2 linked regions of the Oryctolagus cuniculus genome follow. The protein of the gene in region 1 interacts with the protein of each later gene in a biochemical or structural test. Links are inferred from orthologs where the notes say so. Each region holds a gene or a part of one and is shown on either strand. Other genes may lie near its edges.

Region 1 (4,283 bases):
TAGTTTAAAAGCGCAAATGGTTGCTGATATAAATTGGCTTGCACTGATTTATGATTCTGGAGAGAGGGCAAAGATCTTCTCTGTGCTGTGAACCCTTTTGTGGATGGCCACACTGGGGAAGTGGGAGCTGTGTCACTTTCTAGCTATTCACTCCTTGCCCCAAAGTTCAAGGCTGGGCTCCAAACTGGCAGAGGAACCGTGTTGTGAAGTTGGCTCACGCTTGAACGACATTTGCCTGATTTTTGTCATCTTTGCCCACACATAGCTACTCCTCTCCCGATGACCTTTTTCGTTGTACTGTGCCCCAGTCTCCGTTCCTTACTAAAGCAGATATGGATAACTAACACGGAAAGGGAATTCCTTTTCACCGTCCCCAACTGCCATGTTCCTGACAAGCCGGAAGTGTGGCTTCTGTGAAATGTGTGGTGTATCATGCTCTGAGTATTCAAGATTGCCTGAATGGTGAAAGCGCTGAGTTTCTATTCAGTTTCCTCTATGGACTGGGGGTGTGGGGTTGATTGTAATATCCTAAAACACCTGATGCGCTTCTCTGGTCTGGAGAGTAGACTTGAATGGCCCCCAAGAGACAACGGTGGGTGGGTGTAGGATGTGGTGGGAGGGGGCTGGGGGTGGTCTTTAAAGCAAGCAGATGGCAGAGATTTTGTTCTAAGAAAATAATTCTCAAAATATGAAGTGAACCTATGGATATAGCAACTGAAATATAACTGCTCTCATTAATCCTTTGTCAGGCAAACTGGTGGTATTTTAATTTCTACACATGCTGCCTGTCTATAGTTCTCGCTCTTCATTTACTCTCGACAGATCTCAGAATAAAAGAAAAAACATTAAAAGAAATACTTTCCTGTTGATCATTGAAGATCACGAGAAATGAAACTTTACCATAGTTTACATTGAGAAACAGTTACAGTTAAAATCTAAAATACGGAATCACTTAGAAAGGTTTTATTTGTATAGTAAGGTTGCCTGGGTTCCCAGCGCTTTTCTACAAGTAAGTTAAAACTAGAGTCATTGAAAATAAATTGATGAGTGAGTGGCAGCGCGCAGCATTCGCTGGAGATGGCTTTGTGCGTCTCTGGGATGCTCTCCCGGGCCTGTGCACTTGACTCCAGGGGCTTTGCATCATTATTTAAACCTGTGAGCAGACTGCCCTGATGCGCGACACCACGCTCGTCATTTCGTCACAGAAAAGAAACGATTTCCCCTGATCTTTGCACATTTCTCAGGGAAACACCTTGGAGGAAGGAAAGAAACTGTTTTCTTGCCACCCGCGCGTGGGTGGGGCCCCACGAAGCCCCCCGCGAGGGCTGGCCCTGGTGTGGGCAGCTGGGTCAGGCCCCCTTCTTAAGAAAACAGTCCTGCTCTGGGGCCTCAGCGCCCTTTGTTGTCCGCCCCGCGAGGTGATCCGCTGAGGTCTCGGCGGTGACAGAACCAGTTTGTAACAGGCTTGTCTTTCAGGCTCCTGTCTCTCGGGCTTGCTGGCGGCTCTGACAAGAGTGGCAGCCGCGCGAGGCGCGCAGAGAGCTCGGAGGCCCAGAAGCCGGAGGCGGGAGGCTCCCGGGCGGGTCCCACTGACTGCTCTCCTACTGCAATGGGTTGGCTGGAGGAACTCCGCGGGCAGCTTCCCATTTCCTCCGTCATTCTTCTGTCTGTGCACGCGAGGGGTAAGGAGATCAAGGCGCCCCACACAGCAGTGCTGCAGGGGCTGACTTCAGGTCTGCTTTCCTGGCTCGGTCACACATAGGTTCAGTGGCTCAGAGTGTCCCGATCCCCATTCTCCAACTGCTCTGTCACTTGTACTGCGTGCTCTGTCAGGGCAAGGCTTTTGGGGTGCTCTGTCTGTATCCTTTTAAACGGATTTAAAGTTTCTCTTTTCTCTAGCCACTTGGAATTACACTCAGTCCACTTTGGAAGTTGCAGAGTGGAACTGTCAACATGCTGTGATACTTGCTATGTGAAGTACTGAAATAATTCTAACAGGCAATACCTTGATGAATTTGAGTACTGTTAGATGTGTGTAGGTTAGTTAATTAACTTTGAAGTGAACTATAATTTTTATATGCATGCATTGAGTTAGTCTGTCATTTTATAGTGGCAGTGATTGTAGCTTGTGAATCTGTCAGATGCTTGTCCACATTTAAGAGTCTGGCTTTTTTTGATAGTTCTGTGCAGATTATGGTATCAAGCTAAAATGTAACAGTTTAATATATTATCTGAAAATTTTAAGTAAATGAATAATTTCTAAGAGTAAGTGTACTATTTTCAAATTAAAAGAAAGGTAACAATGAATATGAAATAATTAGTGGTGGTAGTGATTGCAATGAGGGAGTTAAAAAGTTGACAATAAGGAAATAATGGCTTTATACACCAAAGCCTGATGATAAAAGGAGCATGCACAAGATTGAAATGCATTTACAGTTCAACTTTCTGTGTGTGTGGATGAGTTCTGCAGAACTAATTTGGCTGTGCTACTTAACAGATAAGTGTGTGTTATCAGTTGTTCTGTACTTGGGGTTGGCACTTACAGGATTAAGGTTTTCAGAATCTCTAAGTATTCCATGATGTAACTAAAATACAACATTTTATGGCATGGCTCTGTAGAAAAATGCTTTTAATTTCTGGTATAGATAGTGGAACTGAAGGGAGTTTTGTGCATTAATATGAAGGAATGACAGGTAGTTCATCTACCTGGCTTGCTAGTTTTTCTCCTTTTCTCCAAAAGTTAGAATCTGGTACCTTCTAGAAAAGAATAGAAAACCTCGATGAAACTGCTTCTGAACGCTGTTGCAGGAAGTGAAAATCAGCATGATAGATGTGAGATAAAATTCTCATTCCTCTGTTTCAGCTGCTACTATTGCTTCATTGCCTGAAGATAATTTTGTATCCTCTTTTAACATTTTCCTTGAAACACATGAATATCTGATTTTACTGTGAGTTATGCCAATAACAAACAGGCCATATGCTCTGGACTGAATCATGAAATCTTAGACATAGAAGGTACTTTGAAACAATGTTGTATAAAATAATGTCTAGTTGTTTTTCAAGGAGGAGGTTGAAGCCCAGAGACCTGCCTTGCTTTTCTGGGCCATATAGCTTTTCATTCTTAAACTCCCTGTCTAAGCCTCTTTGATGCATGCACTCGTGCATGTGTGTTTCTGTTTATCTTATAGCACAGTGGGTTAGGAATGTGAATTCTGGACCCAGAATGCCTGGATTTGAATCCTAGCTCTGCCACTTAGCAGAGGTGTACTCTCACATGAGCTTATCGTGTTTATATATCAGTTTTTTCAACTGTAAAATGCGGATAATAACTGTATTTACCATAACGTTGCTTGATAACTAAATGAGGAAACATTTAGCATATGGAATAGAATCTGGCACATAACAGACCTGGGAGTTTACTATTCTTAGTGTGATTTTTACTTTTTTTTTTTTTCCCCCACAGGCAGAGTGGACAGTGAGAGAGAGAGACAGAGAGAAAGGTTTTCCTTTGCCGTTGATTCACCCTCCAATGGCCACCGCAGCGCGGCCGGCGCACCGCGCTGATCCGAAGGCAGGAGCCAGGTGCTTCTCCTGGTCTCCCATGGGGTGCAGGGCCCAAGCACTTGGGCCATCCTCCACTGCACTCCTGGGCCACAGCAGAGAGCTGGCCTGGAAGAGGGGCAACCGGGACAGAATCCGGCGCCCCGACCGGGACTAGAACCCGGTGTGCCGGCGCCGCAGGCGGAGGATTAGCCTAGTGAGCTGCAGCGCCGGCCATAGTGTGATTTTTAATAATCAGTATTTGCAAGGCTAGCAAACAAGGAAGCTGGAATTGTACACTGAGCCAAGGTTCTGCAGACTGGTAGCTCCTCTGAGTGTGATTCACACGCTGAGTCCCCGTTGATGTTCCCAGCTTTGTCATCAGTCAAGCTTTTTTATTTTGTAAGAAATTTCTCTTAAGTTTTTACAAAATAAGCTAAATGAACTTAATGTTCTTTGTAATTTTTTCCCTGATGAGGACAGAGTGTGCTATACACAGCCACTTACAGGCGTCACCAAATTAAACACTTTGGAGTACCAAAGTTAAATATGCATTGATAATGCGTAAAACCTTTTCAATCATTAATTCTGCATTTGCTTCAGTGAGAATGAGGATCACACACTAAAAGGTAAATAGGAAACACAGATCAATGAAGTGGTCATGACTCTTAAGTGAGTGACAAGGCCAAGATTAATGTGCTGAGACCCTAAGTCCTTATTGAAGTAAATGCATTGCAAAATGA
Region 2 (4,177 bases), on another chromosome or scaffold:
GTGACATCTCCGGCCCTAGGGCAGGGGGGTGGAAGCGCCAGCGCCCCCCTCGGCGGCCGCGCGCCCCCGCCCTTGGCCCCACCCCGCTGCGGCTGCCCCCGGCGCGCCGTCCACACCCCTGAGCGCCGCTCCCGCCCGCTCGGGGATCCCCGGCGAGCAGTGCCGCCGAGGGGGAGGTGTTCGGCCGGGGCCGGGAGGGAGCCAGCAGGCGGCGTCCCCTTTAAAAGCCGCGAGCGCCGCGCCACGGCGCCGCCGCCGCCGCCGTCGCCGCCGGAGTCCTCGCCCCGCCGCGCTGCGCCCGGCTCGCGCTGCGCCCGCCGCTCCGGTTCCCACACCCCGCCGGGGATTGGCAGCCGCCGCCGGACATCAGCCGCCGCCGGCGACCCGAGCGCCCTCGAGGCGAGCGCCGCGCGGATTACTGGGCGCTGCGAGGCACCCGCGCACCGCAGACCCCTCGCGGGTTGGAGCACCCGGCCGTTGCGCGCCACAGCTCGGTGGCCTCGGCTGCCCGGGCCGCGCCGGAGCCGCGGACGGGCGCGCGGAGCGCCGGAGAGTGCGGAGCCAAGCCCGAGCGCCGCGATGCCGAGCACCTCCTGCCGGGGATCGGGGGCTCGAGACGTGCCAGCCGAGGTGTGATCGGACCCCAAGCCGGCCACAAAGGGCACTTGGCCCGAGGGCTAGGACAGCAGCGAGGGCAGAGCGCGGCCACCCGCTTCGGCGGCCCGGGACTCGGCTGGGCTCGCGGAGAATGCGCCCGAGGACGACGGGGCGCCGGAGCCGCGGCTGTTTCCACTGGCCAGCGCTGATGGGGGTGCGCTGGCGGCAGGCAGAGTGATGCGGGGGGGCAGCTCGCCGGGCATCGAGATCGCCGCTGTGCCCTTCCCCGGACCCGGCGTCGCCCAGGATGGCTGCCCCGAGCCATGGGCCGCGGCGGAGCTAGCGCTGAGCGCCCGACCCTCGCCCCCCGGAGTCCCGCAGGCGGCCCCGCGCGCGGCCACGCGTCCCGCGGGCGCTGGTGCCTGAGGACGACGACAGCAGCAGCCTTTCCTCTCTGCCTTCCCTTCCCTTCCCCGGCCCGCACTCCTCCCCCTGCTCGCTGTTGTTGTGTGTCAGCACTTGGCTGGAGACTTCTTGAACTTGCAGCCTTAACTTGCGCTGCTCCCCGCTTCGCGCCGGTGCCCGCGCCCCGGCGGAGCCGCCTCGCTGCCTCCGAGCCCCGCCGCGCTGCAGCCCTCTGCCGGGCCGAGCCCGGGACGCCGCGCCCTGCGCGAGGAGAGGGACTCGGCGGCCGGCGCCGGGAGGAGAAGCCGGAGGCCACGGGAAGGGAGCGGACGCCCGGTCCCCGCGCCAGGTCCCTGGGCCAGAGCTTTTTCCATGTGGAGGCTCTTTCAATGGACGTGTCCCCGCGGGCTTCTTAGACGGACTGCGGTCTCCTAAAGGTACGGGACGCGCGGGCCCCGGGGTGCGGGGCGGGCGCTGGGCTCGCGCGGCGGCGGCGGCGGCGGCGGACCCCCCTCCGGGGCGCGGCCGGGCAGGACGTAAACAGACCCCTCTCCGGGGCCACGTGCAGCCCAGCCCGGCGGGGGCGCCCCCTTTCCCCGCGCCCGCACGCTTCCGCCCCTCCTCCGCTCTTCCTCGATATATTATTAAGGCTGTTAACACTTAGATGATTTTTTTAAAAAATTAAAAAGTCAAAGAGCTGCCTTGGAGAGGATGGCCCCTGGGTTTCACCCGTTAGCTGCCAACCTGTACGCCGTGGCACGGCGCTGTCTTCATCAAGATTCTGGGGGAGACCCGCGCTCTCCATCAGAGCCCCGTCCCCCGTAGGAAAGCGCTGGGCGTTAGGGGTTCTCTCCGCCGGTTGCTAGAAGCGCTAGAGGGCCAGGGTCCCGCTCGCGCCGTGGGTTTCCCCGCTGGCACGTGCGCGCGTGGAGATCGGCCCTTTATGTAACGCCGGGAAGGTACCTGCGTACGCGACCGCACCGGGGGCTCGCGGGCGGGCGTGGAGCGGGGCGTCCCGACACCCAGCGGGCAGCCACCGCCAAGCGGCTTCAGAAGTCGTGGCCCTGAGTTTGCAGGGTCTGGAAGTGGTGAACTGTGGCTCAGGAAGTTCCGTGCCCCGGTTCTCAGGAAGTCACATGCGCGCGCGTTTATAGGCAAGGGAGCGCTCTGAGTTTGGCTAGGCGCGGCAGGGTGTCAGATCAAGCGGTGATCCCCCAGACTCCCTGCATGGCTGCCAGCTCTGGTGTGTGTGTGTGTGTGTGTGTGTGTGTGTGTGTGTGTGTGTGTGTATGGGAGGGGGGAGTGACAACCACTTAAGTTCAGTGGGGAGGGAGCGAGGGATAAGGCCAACCCCCAAATCAAGTATCAGACGGGCCCAGGCTGGGGTGGGAGAGAGAAAAGTGCTCTGGGTCAGGAACTTGGGGCCCTCCATTCCCCCACCCCACCCCAAACGTTAGAGCTGTGGCCGCTCTGACATAGCCAGCAAGTGCTGCAAGGCAGGAGGGCGCCCTGGAGGAGGAGGCGAGCGAGCGCAGCGGGAGCCCAGGCCGCGGGGGCGGGAAGGGAGAGGACTGGGCGGGGAACTCGGGTGACTCACGTCGGCCCTGTCCGCAGGTCGACCATGGTGGCCGGGACCCGCTGTCTTCTAGCGTTGCTGCTTCCCCAGGTCCTCCTGGGCGGCGCGGCCGGCCTCATCCCCGAGCTGGGCCGCAGGAAGTTCGCGGCGTCATCGGGCCGCCCCTCGCCCCAGCCCTCGGACGACATCCTGAGCGAGTTCGAGTTGCGGTTGCTCAGCATGTTCGGTCTGAAGCAGAGACCCACCCCTAGCAGGGACGCCGTGGTGCCCCCCTACATGCTGGACTTGTACCGCCGGCACTCCGGCCAGCCTGGCGCGCCCGCCCCGGACCACCGGCTGGAGAGGGCAGCCAGCCGCGCCAACACGGTGCGCAGCTTCCACCACGAAGGTAAGGCGAGGCGCGCGCCGCAGGGGCAGAGACGCGGGCGGGTTGCTACCCGCAACGCCGAGCACCAAGGCCGGCTGCGGGCATCCCTGGAGAGGCAGTTCAGCCAGAGCTCTGCGGATGCTGTCCCTCTTGCTTCCGTACCGACCTTTCTGAATCTGATTTTCAGGCACTGCTCGTGTGGCGGGCCAGCCAGGGATTCCCCCTTGGTCGGTCCGTACCCGTTTCCTGGCACGCAGCCAGGAGGGCGACTCCTCCTCCAGGAACCAGAGCGGAATCAAGGGATGGGGAAGACGAGGCTAAAAGGCATGCCCCTGGTCAGCTAAGCGTGCAGGAATTCCGCAGTGGGAGAAGGAGGAGGTTTGGGATTTCTTGAAGTCTGTTTGGAAGCCCTTGCTCCATAAATCTGTGTCTCCAGCTTAAGCCAGGGTTTCAAGCTAGACTGAGGCAAGGGCGGAATTCTCAGATAGTCTTGAAAAATCAAAGCCCAGGGCCCCCAAGTCTTCCTAATTTACAGTGGATCTGGGCCTGCGTTGGAAGATTTCGAATCCCTATCTAATCCCCGTGGGAGATCAATTCCACAATCAATCTTATTGTTTCCACAATGACTTTCTTGTCTCGTGCTTAAATCTGAGATAGGCTCAGAGTAGAGACAAAGCAAGCCTTCAGATAAAACCTTTTGCAGCAGCTGCCTGTCTTCCTTCACATGCATTGAAATGTGATTTTTTTTTTCTTTTATGATCCTGGATGTGGTTTTCCTAAGGTAGGATATTTCTGCTGGTTTCATCAGGAAGGCATTTAGTGGATTTGAAATGTCTTAGGGCAGCTATGGAGCTCTGTTGCACCTAACTTCTTAGCACCGTTAGTCAACTACATGCTACATTTCCATTCTTTTGTTCTTTTAAATGTGCCTTTGGCTTAATAGCTCTAAATACAGAATGCATTCCTGCGAATTCTAGAAAAGAGTGGAGTTACAGATCACAGAACAGCCACTTGCACTGACTGATGTTCCCTTTTCCTTGACGAAAACAATTTTCTCTCAGTGGGACGTTTTCAAGAACGATGGGTGATAATGAGAAGAAGTCCCAAAGGCAGGTCCCATCACACAAGCTACTTCTCATCCCAGCTGTCACAGTGAAGGGAGCTGGGAGCTGGTAGCACGTGTTCCAGCACATTTTGAAGTAAAGTGTTTTCTGAAGATCTGAGGATCAACA

Evidence for each region.
Region 2: the proteins of BMPR1B (region 1) and BMP2 form a complex in vitro, tested with the Homo sapiens proteins (3 studies listed by BioGRID and IntAct, with this or other methods). The link is inferred for Oryctolagus cuniculus from reciprocal best matches to the Homo sapiens genes BMPR1B and BMP2.

The regions. Positions count from the first base shown.
Region 1 is NC_091439.1:70,357,191-70,361,473, reverse strand, and holds the start of BMPR1B (bone morphogenetic protein receptor type-1B), read left to right. Parts: upstream 1-1,483; 5' UTR 1,484-1,609; coding exon 1,610-1,682; intron 1,683-4,283. UniProt on the Homo sapiens protein: On ligand binding, forms a receptor complex consisting of two type II and two type I transmembrane serine/threonine kinases.
Region 2 is NC_091442.1:31,668,121-31,672,297, forward strand, and holds the start of BMP2 (bone morphogenetic protein 2 precursor), read left to right. Parts: upstream 1-1,377; 5' UTR 1,378-1,439; intron 1,440-2,616; 5' UTR 2,617-2,623; coding exon 2,624-2,966; intron 2,967-4,177. UniProt on the Homo sapiens protein: Growth factor of the TGF-beta superfamily that plays essential roles in many developmental processes, including cardiogenesis, neurogenesis, and osteogenesis. Induces cartilage and bone formation.